Schizosaccharomyces pombe: one gene and its partners. The gene in region 3 interacts genetically with the main gene of each other region. Each region holds a gene or a part of one and is shown on either strand. Other genes may lie near its edges. The genes, in order: mus81, sub1, top1 and top2.

Region 1 (4,537 bases), on a different chromosome or scaffold from region 3:
GATATGGTCACCTTGTGTAGCGTCTGTCAACGAGGACATTCTCCTTTATCTAATCGAATCGTATTTTGTGATGGATGCAATTCTCCATATCATCAGCTTTGCCATCACCCTCCGATTGACGATGCAACCGTTCAGGATGTGGATGCTGAATGGTTTTGTATGAAATGCCAGTACAGGCGTGCCAAGCAACCTTTAGAAACGGGAATGACGGCACAAGATCTTGGGTTAAGTGAATCAGACAAAAAAATGTATCTATCAAGTTTACCTACTCCTCATCTCGCAGATCTTATTCTTTTTTGTGAAAAGTCTTATCCATCTCTTCCCATATACAACCCACGTACTCGGGAGTTGTTGGGTGAGATTCGGCATCAACTACTTGTTAGTTCTGAACGCCAACAAATATCTTTACAAGAGCGACTTCATGCTAAACAAGATGAAGCTCCCTCTGATGAGCCTGCACCTGTCCCCTATACCGCAAGTTATGTTGCGAATTCTGGAACCTTATACGACTATCCAACGTTAATACGGTTAGCTATTCGTAACACCCTCTCACCTTCCAAAGATGAAATATTTAACTGGCTTGCTCAAAACGTACCATTGTTACCAACTTTTCACGACAGCGCTTCCGAGGCCATTCGTTGGATGGTAAATAAAGGTCAACTGGTCCGTTCCGGTAGCATCTATCAAATAGCAACAGTCGAAGAATACCCTCACCTCCAACCCTCTTTACTTCCTACTTTTCAACGAAACCGTAAGGTACCTAAATTGGTGCCTGTCTCTTTCCCCACCGATGATCCTCAAAATTTATGTGCTACTGTTTTATGAAACTGAACAAATTTTTCTAAATGTATAGACAAAAAAAATTTCTTTACTTCCCGTTTTTAATTAAACGGTTGCGTCCCGTTAATCTCGAAATAAATTTATAAGCGGTCGAAAGCAATGTATCATTACACCATGTATTAGCTGCAAATCAAAGTACTTTAGTATTTCCTTCATGGATTCAAACTTTTCACTCGATAACAAATCTAGGGAAAATACATAAATCGCCCTACACACTTTCTGTTTACATTATAAACTTTTCGTTTGGAATGTTTCCTCGCCATGAAATCTTAAAATAAAATAAAATAAGGAAATGAACAATTTCTCAATTTAGCAATAATTAAGAAAGTCAATGAAGTATAATAAAAAATAATTATTTTTAAAGTATGACTTACAACCATTATTATCGGTCAATGTCAGGGTGTTACAGCGCACCTTCTACTTACCACCAAAGATGAGGTCCACGTTGGCTAGCGCTCAGAAAGCAGCCGTACGTATTCCAAAGGGCTTTGTATTTCCTGTTCCAAAAGTAAAAAGTGCTCCTAAGGTTTCAGACACGCACCCTTTGTGGAATTTCTTTCGGGACAAGCAAGCCCTTCCACCACCATCGGAAGAGGCTAAATTCGGTAGAGCATGGGCTGCAGAAGAGCTTCGTTGGAAGTCTTTTAATGATCTACATGGACTTTGGTACAATTGTCTCCGAGAGAAGAACCTATTGTTCACACAAAGGGCTGAAATGAAACGCTTACAGTTGACTATTCCCAAAGCCTCAAATGAGCGTGTACTTGCAGTCAATAAAACCATGGCAGCTATCAAATTTGTCCTATGGGAACGCCAAAGAGCATATACTTCTGCCAAGCAGCTCGAGAAACAAAAGGGATCTTCTTAAACCCCTTCCTTTTAGGAAAACAGAAAATCATCCAAGTATGGCTTTATTATGATCTAAAGCTTCATCATTTCACAAACTTTCTAAAAATATACCCTAATACACGAGAAACTGTTTTATAATGATGATAATGATTTTTTATTTTGTTCACCTATAATTGTTTTCTTTATTTTGTTTATACTGATCATAAAATCTCGGTTGTCCCGGCAACCATGCTAATGTCTTTACACGAAATTTAGGAAATCGCATTCTATCCACATCCATTTGTTTAGACTTTTGTTTCGTGTGACAATCGATAATTTGAATGAAATAGTTTTTTTCTTTGTTTTTCGGATCCATGGATTGTGGAAATCCGCTGTTTTTACAATGGATACAGGAGTGGATGGAAGAGTCGACGCGTCGCTTCCCCAAGTCATATCAAACCTGGAGAAAGGTAGGAAATTTATTGGATTAGTGAAAAACTCTTTGAAAAATAAATAATTTAAATATTAAATTAATAATGACTGTAATTTTTCGAAAGCTTTTATAGCTTCGTACTCCATAAATATCATAACAATCACTGTTGTTGTTGTTTTAAATAAGAAACCGTGCTAATAATTAGGCCTACGATTCAATGAAAAGTTGCCCCATCACATTTCATCGTCCTTCTCAGGCATTGGCACTGAAGGGAATTGGCCCTACGATTTGTGCCAAGCTAGAAAAGAAATGGAACGCTTACTGTTTGGAAAATAATATTCCAATTAGCACGCACAATGAACAGAATGATTCTCATGTCAATGCTAATAAATCGTCTTCTGAGACTTCTTCTGAAAAGCCTCGAAGCGTTAAAAAACCGACTACAAGAAAGAGAAAGGTCTATGTTCCGAGCTATCGTTCTGGTGCATATTCAATTCTTTGCGCTCTTTATATGCTTAATAAACACGAATTCGCTACAAAGCCTCAAATTGTTACGATGGCCCAACCGTATTGTGATTCGTCCTTTGGATCTGCTACAGACCGAAACATGCGTTATACTGCATGGAGTGCTATGAAGACTTTGATCACAAAAAATTTAGTTTACCAGACAGGTCATCCCTCTAAGTACTGCTTGACCGACGATGGTGAAGAAGTTTGCATACGTTTGGCAAAAGTAGACGATTCCTTTCAACGGAAACATACTGTATCAAACTTTTCTGTCTCTAAATCCGATGATCATGATTCCTCTTTATGCCAACCTCCAAATTTTGTTACATCAATCAATAAAGCAGGAAGTTCTTCAGACCACGGAGGTGAACTACATGTTACTTACTGTCCGGTAGATCATAATGAAGTTTCTGATGGTGTTGAAACCGATATAGATGTTGATCAGGTGGATTCGTTGACCGGAATTCATGATCACCATATCATTAACAATGAGCAGTTGATTGACTTGACGGAACAAGAAAAAAAGCAACCAAATGAAAGCAATTTGTCTAACTTAAAAATCGAGACGGTATTATTCTCAAACTGTACGGTTTTTCTTCTGATTGATACTCGAGAAATACGTTCTCCCTTGGATCGCAATCTTATTATCGATAAACTGACTAATGACTTTGGTGTCAATTGTCAGGTACGATCATTAGAATTGGGAGATGCTTTATGGGTTGCAAGGGATATGGAAAGCGGTCAAGAAGTTGTGTTGGATTTTGTCGTTGAAAGGAAAAGATATGATGATTTAGTTGCTTCCATTAAGGACGGAAGATTTCACGAACAAAAGGCACGTCTAAAGAAGAGCGGAATACGTTCAGTCACCTACATTTTGGAGGAATCCTCTTATGATGAAAGTTTCACGGAATCAATTCGTACAGCTGTTAGCAATACCCAAGTCGATCAATTATTTCATGTCCGTCATACGCGATCACTTGAACACAGCGTAAGTTTGCTTGCTGAAATGACAAAGCAAATTAACCTGTTTTATGAGAAACGTAAAACCCTCGCTGTCATTCCCGATTTGTCGATAGAAGCCAAAACTTATGAGTCGTTACGAGAGCAACTTCTAAAAATTGATCCCTCAACTCCTTACCACATATCATACCATGCATTTTCCTCTGTCCTCTCGAAGTCTTCTACTTTGACCGTGGGGGATATTTTTATTCGAATGCTTATGACTATAAAAGGTATAAGTGCTTCAAAAGCCATCGAGATTCAGAAGAAATATCCAACATTCATGCATTTATTTGAGGCGTACGAAAAGTCATCATCTAGCCAGGAAAGAAACTTATTACTGAATAAGACTTGTCAAGGCTATGGTTTTCAAACAATAGGGCCAGCACTTTCCGCCAAGGTCGCAAGCGTTTTCTTTCCAGAATCTTGAGCCTTTGAACTTTTATTTATTTATGATTCATAATATTTATTCAATTTTCTTATCATTTCCCATATATTTAATTTACCTTTGCTTTACCATCGGAAATTGCGTATGTTAGTGTATTGCGGTATATAGGTAGCATCAGATTCCCTTCAAATCGTGAGTTTCTACCTAGCACTATCCATAAACAAAACCGTTACACTTGGTATTCGTTTTTGAAACTGCTGTATCATGTCACGTTTAAGAGCTCCTGTTGCTAAATTTTTAGCTGATGGATTGAAAGGAATCAGGTCTACAGCTTTGGCTGGCTCTCGATTGTCTAATTGTCGCTATACCAGTACTAGCTCGAAAGATACTGATACCTCAAGCCACATGACTCATTTTGGATTTAAAGACGTTCCGGAAGATGAAAAAGAGCACCTTGGTATGTATGGAAGAACTGGTTTGCTAGGACATGTGATTTGATTGTAAATCATAACATTTTGCATTTTGCATTTACTGAAGAAATT
Region 2 (4,976 bases), on a different chromosome or scaffold from region 3:
TGTATGTTTGTTTATTTTAAAAAGCTTGAGCAGTATAGTCCTGATGTTTTTGTCGTTCGCGTTACATCTCAAACCGATTTAAATAGGATGGTTTTAGTAAACGAAATTTTTCGAAGGGTTATGAGGGATAAGTTGAGTGCGGAAGATGGTACAGAAGTTTTGCGAAACATCACATCTTTTCGCCCTTTGTACAGAGATTGGCTTGTTGCCTTCATGCATGGAGTTGCGAGCGCTTCGATTCTACCAGTTGTATATGGAGGTGGATGGAGAGATATGTTGATAGGCTTCGTGCTCGGTCTATTGCTTGGTATATTTCGTGTTTACATTAATCCTCGATTTTTCTTATTTGACAGTCTTTTCGAAGTTATTATTTCAATTATTCTATCATTTCTGGGCAGAGCATTCGGAAGTATCAGCAGATACGACAAACCTGTATTTTGTTTTGCTGCTCTCGTTGAAGGAGCCATTACTTTAATTCTTCCAGGTTACGTAGTATTTTGTGGCGTTTTGGAGCTTCAATCAAAAAACATTGTGGCAGGAGGTGTTCGAATGTTATACGCCGTCATTTTTTCATTATTTTTAAGTTTTGGGATTACCATTGGATCTGCTCTGTATGGTTGGATGGACAAAGATGCTACCGATGCTGATACATGTATGAGTATAATTGCAGTCAGTCCATACTGGTACATTCTTTTAATCCCAATATTTACGTTGAGTCTATTAATCGTGACCCAGTCTCATCCTAGACAATGGCCTATTCAAATGTTTGTGGCATGCTGTGGATATGTGGTGTATTACTTTTCTTCCTTACATTTTGGTGCTAGTCAGATATCAAGTGCTATAGGTTCATTTGCAGTCGGATGCTTAGGAAATATGTACTCACATTTCATTAAATCTTCTTCTTTTGCCGTGGTACTTCCAGCAATCTTTGTTCTAGTACCTTCAGGGTTTGCAGCTCAAGGAGGTGTCAGTGCTGGACTTGATACAGCTAGCCAAATTACCAGCAAAAATACAACTACAAATACTACTACTGTTACAACAGAAAATTCCCAGAACAGCAGTCTTGAATTTGGTTTTACAATGGTTGAAATTGCCATTGGAATTGCAATTGGATTTCTTGCCAGTTCTCTTACTGTGTATCCGTTCTTTGGTTATCGACGAAAAAACATGATGCTTTAAATAAGTATTTCCAATTCGCGTGTTGTTGAAACTTAGTTCTCAACTACACGTTAATTTTCAAAAAAAAACATGTTGCTTGCCTGTTTGTTTTAGGTATTGCTACAATTCTGTGTTTTAATTTATATTGTATCAAGACGATAGATATTCTTCTCACTCCGTTATCTACCTGACATTGTATATTTCACCGCGTCCTTTATATGTTCCAGTTCTTTTTTTTTTCAATCTAACTATTCATTTAACTCATTACTTTTGGAATGTCTATTGCTAAAGTAAATGCTGTATTATATTATTACTACTGTTAATATTTTAATAATTTAATTCAGGCGTTGTGAAAACTTTTGATGCCTGTCCCATTATAAGTAAATTTTGTTATTATTAGATATAACTGAAAAACTTAATATATGAGATCTAATCGTATTCCATTACTTTTGCATCTCTAAATGTATACTATTTGTGGGGATACGCTTGCCTTTGCCTATGTAAATTAAATTGCAAACGGAATGTAATTTTCAATAAATCATTCACAAGCAAATTCAAGGATGGCGATTAAATATGGGTTGCAGTAATAACAGGCAAAGGGGTTTTTTCATATTAATCATAAGTGTTCTATAAATGGATTTAGGTGAAAAAAGTCCCCACGTGAGTATCCTAAAATTCATACCCAGCCGAAAAGCACTTATAGTAAGTACGCTAAACTTCGCATACTTTAAATACTCATAAATTATGACAAGTTTATACTCACATCGGTAAGCTGATAACACCGCTACACATAGCAACTCCTTATGTGGTGAATGTGTTACCATCCTTGGAGTCAAAATGTGATTTTACCAATACGATTTAAATATGGCTGGAAAACGAGTGATAGCTTCGGGAGACAAAGCATCCAGCAAAAAGCCTAAAACAGAGAAGCAATCCGATCATGAATTGCACTGGGCAGTAAGTTCTTAAAAGAAATTCTGCGAAACTAATAAATTGTTTTGGATTAGTTGAATGAAACGGAAAAGAAAAGAATAACTTTGTCAGAATTCCGTGGTACTAGATATGTTCATATTCGGGAATATTATGAAAAAGATGGTGACATGCTACCAGGAAAAAAGGGGATTGCTCTCAACATAAATGAATGGAAAAAATTGAAACAACTTATTCACGAGGTAGATGATTCTTTAGGATTAGTCGATAGCGGCTCGGATTCGGAAGATGAGATTAAAGAAAAAGCTGAAAACAACGCATCCTTAAAAAATGATGAAGACGACTTAAATACCAAAACAGAGAACAAAACTGACGACTCTTCGGTTGAAAATTAAACAGTGTTGTGATTCAACTGATGAGTAACAAAAGAAAATCTTCTCGTTTAATCAGATTAGATTCAAGCAATGGCAAACGTTTCATCTATTAAACATTACAACATAACTGAATCAATAGATTCAAAATCGTGAAATAACTCAGAAAACGTAGACGTTTTTTTCTGATCATGTGAATTCTTTTTATCCAAATAACCCGCCTTGCATTTTGGACATACAGTTTCAGTAGCACAATCACGGTGTACTAAATGTAGACAACTGTAACTAACAAAAGGAACATCTAAGAGACCTTCACAGTTGTCGCAAACTTTTTCTGAATCTTGTATAGTTCCCAAAAGCTGCCTTTTTTTTTCTATGTCATTTTTAATTACCTGGATTTCATCATCATTTTGATGGATGCGAGTTTCATAATCATTCATCCATTTAAGAAGTAAAGGCTTAAGAAAGCAAAAGTTCAACGTGCCGTCTTTCACCAGAATATTCAAAACATGTTGAATGGGGATACGAAATTGCATAAAACAAGCCTCCAAAATCTTATATAAAATATCTTCGTACTTGTTAGTTATAGATCGTTCACGAACAAAGAATTTGAGAACATGAAGGGCGTCTTCGCTGCTATACGTTTCACTAAGGGTTTTTACGGTTTCAGGATCACTGATTATTTGCTGAATTAAGGAATCATCTTGACCTTCCTTAAGAGATAAATGAGAATACAGTAAGTCTGTCACTTGTTTCCAAGAGACCGCCTGCAAACAAAGAATGGACGATTCGTAGTCTAAAAGGCCTTGACTATCATGAATAATTTGAAGTGCATCTAATTCATTTTGGGGGTTAGAGTGTTGTAGCTCTTTTTGCATTAATGCATATAGTTTCCGTGTGTAAATGAATTTTAGTACATTTTCTGATTTCTTGCTTTTCAAAAGTTCATCAAGAAATATTAATTGTATCTGTACGTTTTGACTGAAAATTCCTAAATACACGATTTTAAGAATATTTGACAACTCCTTATCTTTGCCTTGGGAATTTAGAATTTCGATATTTCTTATCGCTTCTTTCATAAACCTCATCGGATCCGAATTAAATAACCAAATACCAAATGAGTTAGATGTTCGCAACAATTCCGGTAAATTACAAACTTGAAGGTGATTAAACGCCTTTTCAACATCACCTTTCTCTTGATAAACTTCCATGCATACATTTGGGAGTTTTCGAATAGTTCCTAGCAGCTCCATTTGATCTAAGCACTTGTATTTCCTTAAAATTGGCAAAGAAATTTCAGTAGGGCAACCGCTTACATATTCGGTAAGCTTGTCCAATTTTCTAAGCTTGATATACAAGTATATTAACGTTGATATTTCATGCGAAAACGCGAACCCCTTAGCAGAAAGTGCTTCCAAATAAGAAGTCAATTCTTTAATTAATTTTTTTTCCAAGTAAAATTTAATTATCTCTGCTGAATCAGAAAACGGTATAGCTTCAATATAATAATACGTAGCGTCTTGAAAGTTTAATTGCTGGCGACATTCGCCAGCAGCTGCAAGAGCACATTCGCGAATTGTATCTTCAGGAGAACCCAGGTAATTAGCAATTTTAAATGCATCCTTATGCTCTTTTTTTCCCTTCATTTTGCATAAAACAAAGTCAGATGGAAGACGTATTAATTGACAAGGAACTTTAGTCGAAGAAAAAAATATACAATCAAAAGAATTGAAAAAAATATTATCATAGCTCTGTTCAAGTAAACTTTCATATAGAACATAGCGTTTCTCTACGTCCAATGCTTTGATTTCGCGTATAGATGAATTGTTTTCCAGTCCGTTTTCACCATTTTTTCTAGTGTATACCACAAAAACAAGCCCAAAACTAGAAAATAGGAGTTCAAATGTACCATCGACACAGTATGTGTTTTGTAACTGCATATCAGGAGTGGTATAAACAGAAAGAAAGGAGCCACCAGCGCACATGATATACTTTCCTTGATACTGAATTGAACAAAATAAAGGTATACCATGATTGGAAATGACCTTTTTGGTGTTATTTTTTATCTTATAAACCATAACCTGAGTCGTGGTAGAAACAAATAGTTTTTTAGGTGAATATAAGATAAGATTTGTTATAGAATCTTTTTCTCTTAGTATAATATCTTGTCTTGATCCCAAATCTCTTACAAAATCACCTTCAACGCGTATAACCAATCCATTTGCAAATCCACAAACCACGGTTTTAATATCAATCGAAACATACAGTGAAGTTGCAGGAAAAGGTGGATTCGGAATTCCATATAGTCGATGCTCGTAAAGACATAAAGGTGAGTTTGAGTTTGTTTTTTTAGATGGATTCAAGGACCAAAATTGTAAATAAACAAAGTTTTGCTTATCAAGCTACAACCAACATAAATTATGATTAGCATTTAAACATATCATGTGACTTACAACAACACAGCATAAAGCCGATTGATCTGCAGTTATGTAGATTTGTTGGACAATGCCTTGTTCG
Region 3 (5,290 bases):
GGAGGGGCCCCTATGCTGCAAAAATGTTGGAATTATTAGAAAAAACATACCAGGAAGAAGCAACAATAAACTTTGGGAAGGTGGAAGGAGAGATTTCTGCTCTCTACGATAGCGTTCTTTTAGTTGATCGATCATTAGATCGTATTACACCGTTTTTGACTCAACTTACCTACTTTGGATTTTTGGACGAAATACTTGGAATTCAGCAAAGTATGATTCATATTTGTTTATTATTTATCTAACTGATTAGTGAATGTCAAACTTCCTTCATCCTTGGTTAACCGAAATGAAGCTTCAAATACTGGACCGATGAAAAAGTTTTCTTTAAGTTCTTCTTCCAGCCAAATTACCAAGGAAATTAGAGACATAAATTTTAATTGCATAGGCCCTTATTTAAGCAAAATTGCTCGAAAACTATCCAGCGATTTTGAAGGTCGACGTCAAGCCAAAACTGTAAATCAGATTAGAGACTTCGTTTCCAAACTGGGTTCCTTACAATCGGAGCATACATCATTAAATATTCGTAAGTATTTTTTTCTTTTGATTTCCATAAAAAATTTTATTAATTAGATAGACACTGGTCTCGCTGAAACTTTGGTGCAACACACAAAAAATAATTACTTTCAAAAGCTACTACAACTTCAGCATTTGCTAGTTTCTCATGCCGATTCTTTTACTCAATTCAATTTATTAGATGAAATTATCTATGCCGAAGCACCTGTTGAAGAGGTTTTTCGAGTACTTTGCCTTGCAAGTATAACTACCAATGGTTTGAGAAGAAAAGATATAGATCATTACCGTAGGGAAATCACTCAAACATATGGTTATTATCACCTTTTAACATTCCAAGCCTTGATAGATGCAGGACTATTGCGCCTCCGGCAATCCACTAATATTTCACTTCAAAAATCATTGTCTTATTCTACATGGTTAAACACTTATCCTTTGGTTAAGGACGAAGTTGATGAGCAGAATCCTGAAGATATAGCCTATACGTACAGCGGGTACGGTCCTTTGTCAGTCCACATAGCATATGACATTTTAAAAGGCAGAGACAATGAAGAAAAAATTCTTAAGTTGCAAAATATGCCTGGAACTTACGTTGACAAGTGGACATTAGACCAGGAAAAGGTCATGCCTAAAAATTTGAAGACAAACGTACCAGGTAAACGTCGTGTTTTAGTTTTTTTCATCGGTGGTTGCACGTACACAGAGCTGGCTGCATTTCGTTTATTGCAAGAAAAAGAAGATTTATATGAATTCACATTTATGACTACGGGAATGGTAACTGGAAGCTCTCTAATAAGAGCTTTTATTCCAAATATTGAATCTTTGAATGAGTGATGATCACCCAGTTTCATTAATTTGTTCAACAGCTAAAGACGATATTTAATCTCATTTTTTTTCACTAAGAGAATCCCATAATTTTAATTATTGTTTTTTTTATTAACCCACTTTATTAAGTCCTTAGTAGTTTATGAATTTGAAGTGGCATTAAAGCTTTCCCTATATGCTGTTAAGCTATTTGCTATTTACTGCCAAAATATTAGCTTACATATTAAATAATAAACCTCCAATATTTGGCAGCTAATGGCTTATTGTATCAATCAAATCACCTTTTTTTTGTTTTGGATATTCAGTGGCTTTTGGTATTGTTTACAATAAATGTAAAGTTAAAGCTTTCAAAATTATTAGAGATTACTTTTCTCGTACTGTTAATGGGTTTATTTTGAAATATGCACATTTATAGCTTTTTGCTGCAAGCTTCGTAACATTAAATTTTATTTTATTTGAAAATTCCAGTTTCTCATTTAGCTACTAATTTTTACAAACATTAATTGTCAATATTTGGTTGTCATGACAACGAGTGTACGTACTCAATATTAATCCTTCTTTTACTGTATTATAGATGTATGCAAACAATTCACAATGTCTTCGTCTGGTAAGGTTTCACGTAATTTAACAACATTTGCAAAATTTTTAACAACTGAAAAGATTCAGATTCCGTGTCTTTATCCATTAGAAGGAGGCAAAGACGCGGTTCATCTAAACGGATTAGTATGAAGGAGTCGGACGAAGAGAGTGATAGTTCTGAAGTATGTTCACAACATAATAATTAAAGATTGTTGACTAATTGTTTAGAATCATCCTCTTAGTGAATCGTTGAATAAGAAATCCAAATCCGAGAGTGATGAGGATGATATACCGATTAGAAAGAGACGTGCTTCTTCAAAGAAAAATATGTCCAATTCAAGCTCTAAAAAAAGAGCTAAAGTAATGGGAAATGGTGGTTTAAAAAACGGAAAAAAAACGGCGGTTGTAAAAGAGGAAGAGGATTTCAATGAAATTGCAAAGCCCTCACCGAAGCATAAACGTGTTTCTAAAGCGAATGGAAGTAAAAATGGCGCGAAGTCAGCTGTTAAAAAAGAGGAAAGTGACACAGATGATTCAGTTCCATTGAGAGCTGTTTCGACTGTATCTTTAACTCCTTACAAATCAGAACTGCCTTCGGGAGCTTCGACCACGCAAAATCGCTCACCAAACGATGAGGAAGATGAAGATGAGGATTACAAGTGGTGGACTTCAGAAAATATCGATGATACTCAAAAATGGACTACATTGGAGCATAATGGTGTAATTTTTGCTCCACCCTATGAACCTTTACCAAAGAACGTCAAGCTAATTTACGATGGAAACCCCGTAAATCTTCCTCCCGAAGCAGAAGAAGTTGCTGGTTTTTATGCTGCAATGCTTGAAACCGATCATGCCAAAAATCCTGTATTCCAAGATAATTTTTTCCGTGACTTCTTAAAGGTCTGTGATGAATGTAACTTTAATCACAACATTAAAGAGTTTTCTAAATGTGATTTTACCCAAATGTTTCACCATTTTGAGCAAAAGAGGGAAGAGAAGAAGAGTATGCCGAAGGAACAGAAGAAGGCAATAAAGCAGAAAAAAGATGAGGAAGAGGAAAAATATAAATGGTGCATACTTGATGGGAGAAAGGAGAAGGTTGGTAACTTTCGTATTGAACCTCCAGGGTTATTTCGTGGTCGAGGTAGTCATCCTAAAACTGGTTCTTTAAAGCGTCGAGTATATCCTGAACAAATTACCATTAATATTGGTGAAGGTGTACCCGTTCCAGAACCACTCCCTGGGCATCAATGGGCGGAGGTAAAGCATGATAATACAGTGACCTGGTTGGCAACCTGGCATGAAAATATAAATAATAATGTCAAATATGTCTTTTTAGCTGCAGGAAGTTCTCTAAAAGGACAGAGTGACTTAAAAAAATACGAAAAGTCAAGAAAGCTTAAGGATTATATTGATGATATCCGTAAAGGCTACCGGAAAGATTTGAAAAGTGAGTTAACGGTTGAGCGTCAAAGAGGAACTGCCATGTATTTAATTGATGTTTTTGCTTTAAGAGCAGGAAATGAAAAGGGTGAAGACGAGGCGGATACTGTTGGTTGTTGTTCACTGCGATATGAACATGTTACACTGAAGCCACCACGAACAGTCGTTTTCGATTTTCTTGGTAAAGATTCTATTCGTTACTACAACGAGGTTGAAGTTGATCCCCAAGTTTTTAAAAATCTAAAGATCTTTAAACGTCCTCCCAAAAAAGAGGGTGATTTAATTTTCGACCGTCTCAGTACAAACAGTCTTAACAAATATCTGACTAGCCTTATGGATGGACTTTCAGCTAAAGTATTTCGTACCTACAATGCTTCATACACCATGGCCGAGGAACTTAAGAAAATGCCTAAGAACCTCACCCTTGCAGACAAAATACTATTTTATAATAGGGCAAATAGGACTGTTGCAATTTTATGTAATCATCAACGTTCCGTAACCAAAAATCACGATGTTCAAATGGAACGGTTTGCCGAAAGGATTAAGGCATTACAATACCAGCGGATGAGACTGCGAAAAATGATGCTGAATTTAGAGCCCAAGCTTGCTAAAAGCAAGCCCGAATTGCTGGCTAAAGAAGAAGGCATTACCGATTCATGGATCGTAAAACATCACGAGACACTTTACGAACTAGAAAAAGAGAAAATAAAAAAGAAATTCGATCGTGAGAACGAAAAATTAGCTGCTGAGGATCCCAAATCAGTGCTTCCGGAATCTGAATTGGAAGTTCGATTGAAAGCGGCTGATGAGTTGAAGAAAGCGCTGGACGCTGAACTTAAAAGCAAAAAAGTCGATCCAGGTCGTTCTTCGATGGAACAACTTGAGAAAAGATTAAACAAACTCAATGAACGAATTAATGTTATGCGTACTCAGATGATCGATAAAGACGAGAATAAAACTACTGCTTTGGGTACAAGTAAGATTAACTACATAGACCCGAGGCTTACTTATTCGTTCAGCAAGCGAGAAGACGTTCCTATTGAGAAGCTGTTTAGTAAGACGATTCGTGACAAGTTCAATTGGGCTGCTGATACACCTCCGGATTGGAAGTGGTAAGTCCTCTACGATTTAAGAAAAGTATCTTTCATTGAACTTTTTAAAAAAAAATTATTTATTATCATCCTACGGCAGACAAATTGTGAAAGTGCTTCGTAATTTCGTGACTTAATGATGTCTTGAAATGAATGCTAGCGTACAACAACTTAGTGTGCTGAAAGAAGGAATTAATTACTTCTAGTTTAGTGTTTAATAAAAATTCATACAAAAAATGCAAAGCTAAGGAAGTTTTTTCAGCAAAAATATAGACAGAATAAAATTTAGCACAAAACAAATTGAACGTGACATTTCATACTATCCCCATTGCATTTGGCTTTTTTTTTCATAATTACTGTTTACTCTTGAGGTCTTTTTCTTTAATATTGGTGAAATGCCTGTTACGATCATCAAATTCAATATACAAGCAAACTTACTCTTGTAAACAATTTTTTTTTTGTTTTTTTTTTTTTACAAATAGAAAAGGAAAGAAAAGCCAAGCTGCTGCTTTTTTAATCTTTATACCAATTACTCTTCTTTGGTTGTACTAAATAGTTTTTCAAGCACTTCTATACCATCCAAATTACTTTTTTCTCTAGCGTTTACATTTGACTGCCTTTTTCGCATCTTTAAACCCGGTTTCCACTTTTTCGTTCTCTTTGTCAGATTGGCACAAGTTCCGGTATAGCAGAAATATCAGTGGAAGAGATTTTGTCTCACTATTTGCTGGAGCAATCCAATGCAACCACGAGCGGATACAATCGGGTTGGTAAAGATTAAATTACGTAAAACAAAGTATGAACACACTAGCATTTGGATCCTACCTTCTACGAGTACCTAC
Region 4 (7,533 bases), 970 kb from region 3:
TTCTCCTTTCTTTTTTTTTTAATAAACAAAAAGATGGGAAGAAATAAATAGTTTTCGATGTTTGTTAAACGAAGAATTAGCCAATTTGAGTGTTCAATATAGTCACATTCAAAATTAGCTGAGCAAATTCAAATAAACTAAGATTAGGTTGGGTTTCTTTTCAACAATCCCGCTCTAGGATTGTATTTAAATGAAATTATTTTTAATGCTAGATAAAACAATAGAAGTAATATTGGTAAAGTTTTTCTTGATTTTGAGGAACCTTGATGCTTCTCACTCGGACGTATTGGTGATGCTATTTTGACGCTGATTTTAGTTACAGATCAACCGAAACTTTTTTTCTTCTTAGATATTGACTTCTTTGCCACAAAATACTTCTTTTAAAAACGTCTTTCCACTTTCGACTTTGACAAATAATTTTTTTCTCAAGCGAACTTTTTTTAATATACTATTCGATAGGCGAGCAAATATCCAACGTGGATCCGGGGATAAGCAAAGGCCAAATAGAGGTGCAAGATAGCTAGAAATATGATTTTTTTTCAATAAAATGAATTTTAAAATGAAGAGGACGTTGGTGGAGGATAAGTTCAGGAGGTCTGATGTGTTCCTTGGTAAGCGAGAAATAGCCTTATAATGTGGGACACTGAAGAATCAACCTTTTGATCTGCTCTGATCGAGCGGAATATGTTCGCGATGTCCGATTCCGTTTTTTTGGACTATTATACACAGGAAATTAGGGAAGTGATGGTTATGTTAGATGGCTCAAATTTAGGTCAATTAACATTTTGTGCGAATATCCAATGAAAGAAGCCGCCGATCTATTGATCCACTCTTTTCTTCCATTAAATAATTTATCGCTTACTGACTTATGAGCAGCTGTCTGAGATACTTCAAAAAGCATTTTTCTTGCTCAGATCCTACACATTTCGTTTTGGCTATCCAATGCTTGCTTATACCTTGAAAGAGTGACTCCGAATATGCGTTTGTCTTGCGCTTCCATTTTGTAACTCTCCTTATTAAACAATCGACTTCACACTATTTTTCGTCCATTAATGGGAATTGGTTGGCAACATCGATAAATAATGGAAATACTTAAACCCATGCATCAGCTATCTGCTGGGCCTACCATTTTTTGTTACATTTGCAGCTTCTTTTAAGATTTTCAGAAAAAAGTTTATTGCATTTATTAGATGAGTCTGTTGTTTGAGAGTTCTTTCTATGTTTTTGTTCCTGTTTCATACCTGCAATTGTTAAATAGAGGGAGAAGCTATATTCACAAAATTACTATTAAATTGTTTGAACTTAATGATAGTTACATACAACAATGTTTCAAGAACAGCTTAATCGAAATAATATGGATTAATGCTGATGGTACAATCAAGAAGAATTTAAAAAAGCAGTTTCTGTTTCCATCATTGCTTTCCGTTCATCTCTTTTTATCGTGTTTAGCGTTTTTCTTTCAAATGACCAACTGTAATAGGTCACTCAATTCTTTTACAATCTTTGCGAGCATACTCATGAATTATGGATTTATCTAAACATTCATTTTCCATTTTCAAAATCCTTTGTTTATTCCATACTATATAAAATAGCACCAAGAATTTCAATTTTAATTTCAAAGCACAAACATTCTTTATTATACAATTAATTAATTATTACATTTGCTTTACAAATTAGTTACAGCATATGTTCCAAATACGGTTTTTTTACAGACTTCAATTATGTTTTAAGCGCATCCCTATATTAATAACGCACGGAAATTTAGAAATCCTTTCTTTTGCTATTTATTCTTAAAAATAATTTTCTTTTTCTTTTTCCGTAGTAATCAATTCCTCGGTTGCAACTTCTATCTACTTATGTTCTGTTCTCTCTTCCTATCCTTCACCAGCTACCAACTTCAATCATTGTTGGGATAGTTGAACACATAGCCCTTTAGAGCTTTTAAACAAACTATTTAAATTAGTACTATCATACATACAATCTCTGAAGTTTCCATCATACTATTAGTTTTTCGTCACGCGTTTGCTTTGACCGACTTTCTACATACGTGAATCAGTCTGTGGTGATATAAACGCTTGAATATCTATTTAATACTTTTTTAAACCAAAAAATTAATCCAAATTAACAAAAAACATTATATTTGGTATTCATTCGTTCTACCTTCTTTTTTATCCATTACTTTTTTTTCAGGTCACTTCTCCATTCGTTTTTTAATATCGTATACTAAGGGCAAATATCATTTTCTCTTCTTACATATCTTAATTTTGTTATTTGACGTTGCTTAAAGCGTGTCATTATTATATCCATTGATTTTTTAATAATAACGTTTACACGTTGGAATAACCTTTGATTTACTACATATTTCCAACTTAATTTTACAAACTATGTCCATTGATGCGGATTTCTCCGACTATGAAGATGAAGCGTCTGGAGACGAAAACGTTTTACCTAACACAACCACCAAAAGGGTATGCAAGTGTTTGTGGAATTTATTATTATTTTAAAATACTAACAACTTTTTTAGAAAGCATCTACAACATCCTCAAAGTCTCGCGCCAAGAAGGCAAGCACTCCTGACTTAAGGCAAACTAGCTTGACATCCATGACAGCTTCTGAACAGATACCACTAGTTACCAACAACGGAAATGGAAATTCTAATGTATCTACACAGTACCAGCGTCTTACACCGAGAGAGCATGTGCTAAGACGTCCGGATACATACATTGGCAGTATTGAGCCAACGACTTCTGAAATGTGGGTCTTTGACTCTGAGAAGAACAAGCTGGATTACAAAGCAGTGACCTATGTTCCAGGCCTTTACAAGATATTTGACGAAATAATTGTCAATGCTGCTGACAACAAAGTTCGCGACCCAAACATGAATACCCTAAAGGTGACTTTGGATCCTGAAGCAAATGTCATATCAATTTATAACAATGGCAAGGGCATTCCTATAGAGATTCATGATAAAGAGAAAATTTACATCCCCGAGCTTATTTTTGGTAACTTGCTTACTTCAAGCAATTACGACGATAATCAAAAGAAGGTAACAGGAGGAAGAAATGGTTACGGCGCAAAACTTTGCAATATTTTTTCTACTGAATTTGTCGTTGAGACAGCTGATAAGGAAAGGATGAAGAAATATAAACAAACTTGGTATGACAATATGTCCAGAAAGTCTGAGCCAGTGATCACTTCTCTCAAGAAACCCGATGAATACACAAAAATTACATTCAAACCCGATTTAGCAAAATTTGGTATGGACAAGATTGATGATGATATGGTATCTATTATAAAACGCCGTATTTATGATATGGCAGGTACCGTTCGTGAAACTAAAGTTTACCTGAACAATGAACGCATCAGTATAAGTGGATTTAAGAAATATGTGGAGATGTATCTTGCTTCTGACACTAAACCTGATGAAGAGCCTCCTAGGGTAATTTATGAACATGTTAATGACCGTTGGGACGTGGCCTTTGCTGTTTCAGATGGACAGTTTAAGCAGGTTTCGTTTGTTAACAATATTTCTACCATTCGTGGAGGTACACATGTTAATTATGTTGCCAATAAAATTGTCGATGCTATAGATGAAGTCGTCAAGAAGGAGAATAAAAAGGCACCCGTTAAAGCGTTTCAAATAAAAAATTACGTACAGGTATTTGTCAATTGTCAAATAGAGAACCCATCCTTTGATTCCCAAACAAAGGAGACTCTCACCACGAAAGTTTCTGCTTTTGGCTCTCAATGCACATTAAGTGATAAATTTTTAAAAGCTATCAAAAAATCTTCTGTAGTGGAGGAGGTTTTAAAATTTGCTACCGCTAAGGCAGATCAGCAACTCAGTAAGGGCGATGGGGGTTTGCGTTCTCGTATAACGGGTTTAACCAAACTCGAAGACGCAAATAAAGCGGGTACCAAAGAATCCCATAAGTGTGTCCTTATCCTCACTGAGGGAGATTCTGCTAAATCTTTAGCTGTTTCGGGTCTCAGTGTTGTTGGTAGAGACTATTATGGAGTTTTTCCGTTAAGAGGAAAACTACTGAATGTACGGGAGGCTTCTCATTCCCAAATCCTAAATAACAAAGAAATTCAAGCTATCAAGAAAATCATGGGATTCACTCATAAAAAAACTTATACCGATGTGAAAGGTCTTCGTTATGGTCATTTAATGATTATGACAGATCAAGATCATGATGGATCACATATTAAAGGTTTAATTATTAATTATTTAGAATCCTCGTATCCTTCTCTTTTGCAAATTCCTGGATTCTTGATCCAATTTATCACACCTATCATTAAGTGCACTCGTGGCAATCAGGTTCAAGCATTTTACACTTTACCCGAGTACGAATACTGGAAGGAAGCTAATAACAATGGACGTGGTTGGAAAATTAAATACTACAAGGGTTTGGGAACAAGTGACCATGACGATATGAAAAGTTATTTTTCAGACCTTGATCGTCACATGAAGTACTTTCATGCCATGCAGGAGAAGGATGCTGAATTAATTGAAATGGCATTTGCCAAGAAAAAGGCCGATGTGCGTAAGGAATGGCTTAGAACGTATCGACCTGGTATATATATGGATTATACTCAACCTCAGATTCCGATTGATGACTTCATTAATCGAGAGCTTATCCAATTCAGTATGGCTGATAATATCCGTTCGATTCCTTCAGTAGTAGATGGCTTGAAGCCTGGTCAGCGTAAAGTTGTCTATTATTGTTTTAAACGCAATCTCGTCCATGAAACTAAAGTCAGTAGACTTGCCGGCTATGTTGCTAGTGAAACTGCATACCACCATGGCGAGGTTTCGATGGAGCAAACTATAGTTAATCTTGCCCAAAATTTTGTTGGCAGTAACAACATTAATTTGCTGATGCCTAATGGACAATTCGGTACACGATCTGAGGGTGGAAAAAATGCATCGGCTTCAAGGTATCTAAATACAGCTTTATCACCCTTAGCACGTGTTTTATTTAATTCCAATGATGACCAGCTTCTTAATTACCAAAACGACGAAGGCCAGTGGATTGAACCAGAGTATTATGTGCCAATTCTTCCCATGGTACTTGTCAATGGAGCCGAAGGTATTGGTACTGGCTGGTCTACTTTTATTCCTAATTATAACCCTAAGGATATAACTGCTAATTTAAGACATATGCTTAATGGCGAGCCTTTGGAAATTATGACTCCCTGGTACCGCGGCTTTCGTGGAAGTATAACGAAAGTTGCGCCTGACAGGTACAAAATATCTGGTATAATTAACCAAATTGGTGAAAACAAAGTAGAAATTACTGAATTGCCTATACGATTTTGGACTCAGGATATGAAGGAGTATCTGGAGGCTGGTCTTGTTGGTACGGAAAAAATTCGTAAATTCATCGTGGACTATGAAAGCCATCACGGTGAAGGAAATGTTCACTTTAATGTCACGCTTACCGAAGCTGGCATGAAAGAAGCATTAAATGAATCCTTGGAAGTTAAGTTTAAACTGTCGCGTACTCAAGCAACGAGTAATATGATTGCTTTTGATGCATCTGGACGGATCAAGAAGTATGACAGTGTTGAAGATATTTTGACCGAGTTTTACGAAGTACGTTTAAGGACATACCAGAGACGTAAAGAGCATATGGTTAATGAATTGGAAAAAAGGTTTGATAGATTTTCAAATCAAGCGCGGTTTATTCATATGATTATAGAGGGGGAGCTTGTAGTTTCAAAAAAGAAGAAAAAGGATCTCATTGTGGAGCTGAAGGAAAAGAAGTTTCAACCTATCAGTAAACCAAAGAAAGGGCATTTGGTTGATTTAGAAGTTGAAAATGCTCTTGCTGAAGAAGAACAATCTGGTGATGTTTCGCAAGACGAGGATTCAGATGCCTACAATTACCTTCTTTCAATGCCTTTATGGTCTTTGACCTATGAACGGTATGTGGAACTTCTCAAGAAAAAGGACGAAGTAATGGCCGAACTGGATGCTTTGATTAAAAAAACTCCTAAAGAATTGTGGCTTCATGATTTGGATGCATTTGAGCATGCTTGGAATAAGGTTATGGATGATATTCAGAGAGAAATGTTAGAAGAAGAGCAATCCTCTAGAGATTTTGTAAATCGAACGAAAAAGAAGCCTCGAGGTAAATCCACTGGTACTAGGAAACCCAGGGCTATTGCCGGATCCTCCTCAAGTACTGCTGTTAAAAAAGAAGCTAGCAGCGAATCCAAACCATCTACAACAAATCGAAAGCAACAAACTTTACTTGAGTTCGCAGCGTCGAAAGAACCTGAGAAATCATCTGACATAAACATTGTCAAGACAGAGGATAACTCTCATGGCTTATCAGTTGAAGAAAATCGCATATCTAAGAGCCCGGGATTGGATAGCAGTGATAGTGGAAAATCAAGAAAAAGAAGTCAATCTGTTGACTCTGAAGACGCAGGTAGTAAAAAACCCGTCAAAAAAATAGCAGCCTCGGCGTCTGGAAGAGGAAGAAAGACTAATAAACCAGTTGCTACTACCATATTTTCTTCAGACGATGAAGATGATTTGTTGCCTAGCAGTTTGAAACCTTCCACCATAACATCCACGAAGGCTTCTGCGAAGAATAAAGGGAAAAAAGCAAGCTCGGTAAAGAAACAATCACCTGAAGATGACGATGATGATTTTATTATTCCAGGTAGTAGTTCAACTCCAAAAGCTAGTTCGACTAACGCAGAGCCACCAGAAGATTCAGATTCTCCGATTAGAAAGAGGCCAACCAGAAGAGCAGCGGCTACAGTGAAAACACCTATTTACGTTGATCCCTCGTTTGATAGCATGGATGAACCCAGCATGCAAGATGATTCTTTTATCGTCGATAACGATGAGGATGTAGACGATTATGATGAGAGTGATTAGCTTCTAAAATTTGGTGTTTTCAAACGCTATTTACAGTACAATCTGAAAAAATTGGATGAACATTGTAAATGGTAGGATACGAGTTCCAATTAATGTATTTTTTAAGTATTACACTTAGCTTATTAATTTTATATATACATTCTACCTCTGTGGGTTTAAAGACAACTCGTACACATACTCAAATTATTTATGAACATTATAATGCATATTCGTACTGTCTATTAAACATTTTTTTGACATTAAAAATTTCGTTTACTAACGTAGAAAGCGCTGATAATTGAGGCTACTATTTTAATATCTAGAAACAAAGATTCATTAATTAATTAAGTAAGCTCCAGGATACTTGTATATTTCGTTAAAAAAGCGCAATTTCAACAATTCCTATGAACATCCATGATTTCATCACAAAATCAAACATATCAGGATTTAACGTGAATTATTTGCTTTCTTGTGATTTTCATCTGATTTCTGGTCATTTACGTTACTGTAAACAAGCTTTTTAAAAAAAGGATTTTTTACGCAATATTATCGATATCCCAATCTGTAGTATAAAAAGTGCAACAGTGTTGAGTTTCCCGAAACCAGGCATTTTTGCGGTAGGGTCTGAAACTTTCACGAAACCATTTCACAACAAA

The links.
Region 1: of top1 (region 3) and mus81, a mutation in one rescues a mutant of the other (synthetic rescue), as found in Schizosaccharomyces pombe (3 studies listed by BioGRID).
Region 2: mutations in top1 (region 3) and sub1 together harm fitness more than expected from each alone (negative genetic interaction), as found in Schizosaccharomyces pombe (2 studies listed by BioGRID).
Region 4: of top1 (region 3) and top2, changing one enhances a phenotype caused by changing the other (phenotypic enhancement), as found in Schizosaccharomyces pombe (5 studies listed by BioGRID, with this or other methods).

What each region holds. Positions count from the first base shown.
Region 1 is NC_003421.2:460,678-465,214, forward strand, and holds mus81 (Holliday junction resolvase subunit Mus81), read left to right. Parts: upstream 1-2,042; coding exon 2,043-2,138; exon of another isoform or gene 2,139-2,147; intron 2,148-2,304; exon of another isoform or gene 2,305-2,306; coding exon 2,307-4,037; downstream 4,038-4,537. Other genes in the region: PHD finger domain-containing protein Phf1, read left to right, coding at 1-825; mrpl4 (mitochondrial 54S ribosomal protein uL29m), read left to right, coding at 1,274-1,708; coq5 (C-methytransferase), read left to right, coding at 4,260-4,452.
Region 2 is NC_003424.3:3,078,990-3,083,965, forward strand, and holds sub1 (transcription coactivator PC4), read left to right. Parts: upstream 1-2,008; 5' UTR 2,009-2,022; coding exon 2,023-2,115; exon of another isoform or gene 2,116-2,165; coding exon 2,166-2,483; 3' UTR 2,484-2,578; downstream 2,579-4,976. Other genes in the region: SPOM_SPAC16A10.01 (uncharacterized protein), read left to right, coding at 1-1,179; SPOM_SPAC16A10.03C (Pep5/Vps11-like zinc finger domain-containing protein), read right to left, coding at 2,579-4,861, 4,913-4,976.
Region 3 is NC_003423.3:2,941,220-2,946,509, reverse strand, and holds top1 (DNA topoisomerase I), read left to right. Parts: upstream 1-1,913; 5' UTR 1,914-1,929; coding exon 1,930-1,942; exon of another isoform or gene 1,943-1,995; coding exon 1,996-2,096; exon of another isoform or gene 2,097-2,142; coding exon 2,143-4,473; 3' UTR 4,474-4,776; downstream 4,777-5,290. Other genes in the region: HOPS/CORVET complex subunit, vacuolar sorting protein Vps33, read left to right, coding at 1-210, 251-523, 575-1,344. UniProt on the Schizosaccharomyces pombe protein: Releases the supercoiling and torsional tension of DNA introduced during the DNA replication and transcription by transiently cleaving and rejoining one strand of the DNA duplex.
Region 4 is NC_003423.3:1,975,618-1,983,150, reverse strand, and holds top2 (DNA topoisomerase II), read left to right. Parts: upstream 1-1,883; 5' UTR 1,884-2,384; coding exon 2,385-2,468; intron 2,469-2,494; exon of another isoform or gene 2,495-2,524; coding exon 2,525-6,898; 3' UTR 6,899-6,990; downstream 6,991-7,533. UniProt on the Schizosaccharomyces pombe protein: Control of topological states of DNA by transient breakage and subsequent rejoining of DNA strands. Topoisomerase II makes double-strand breaks.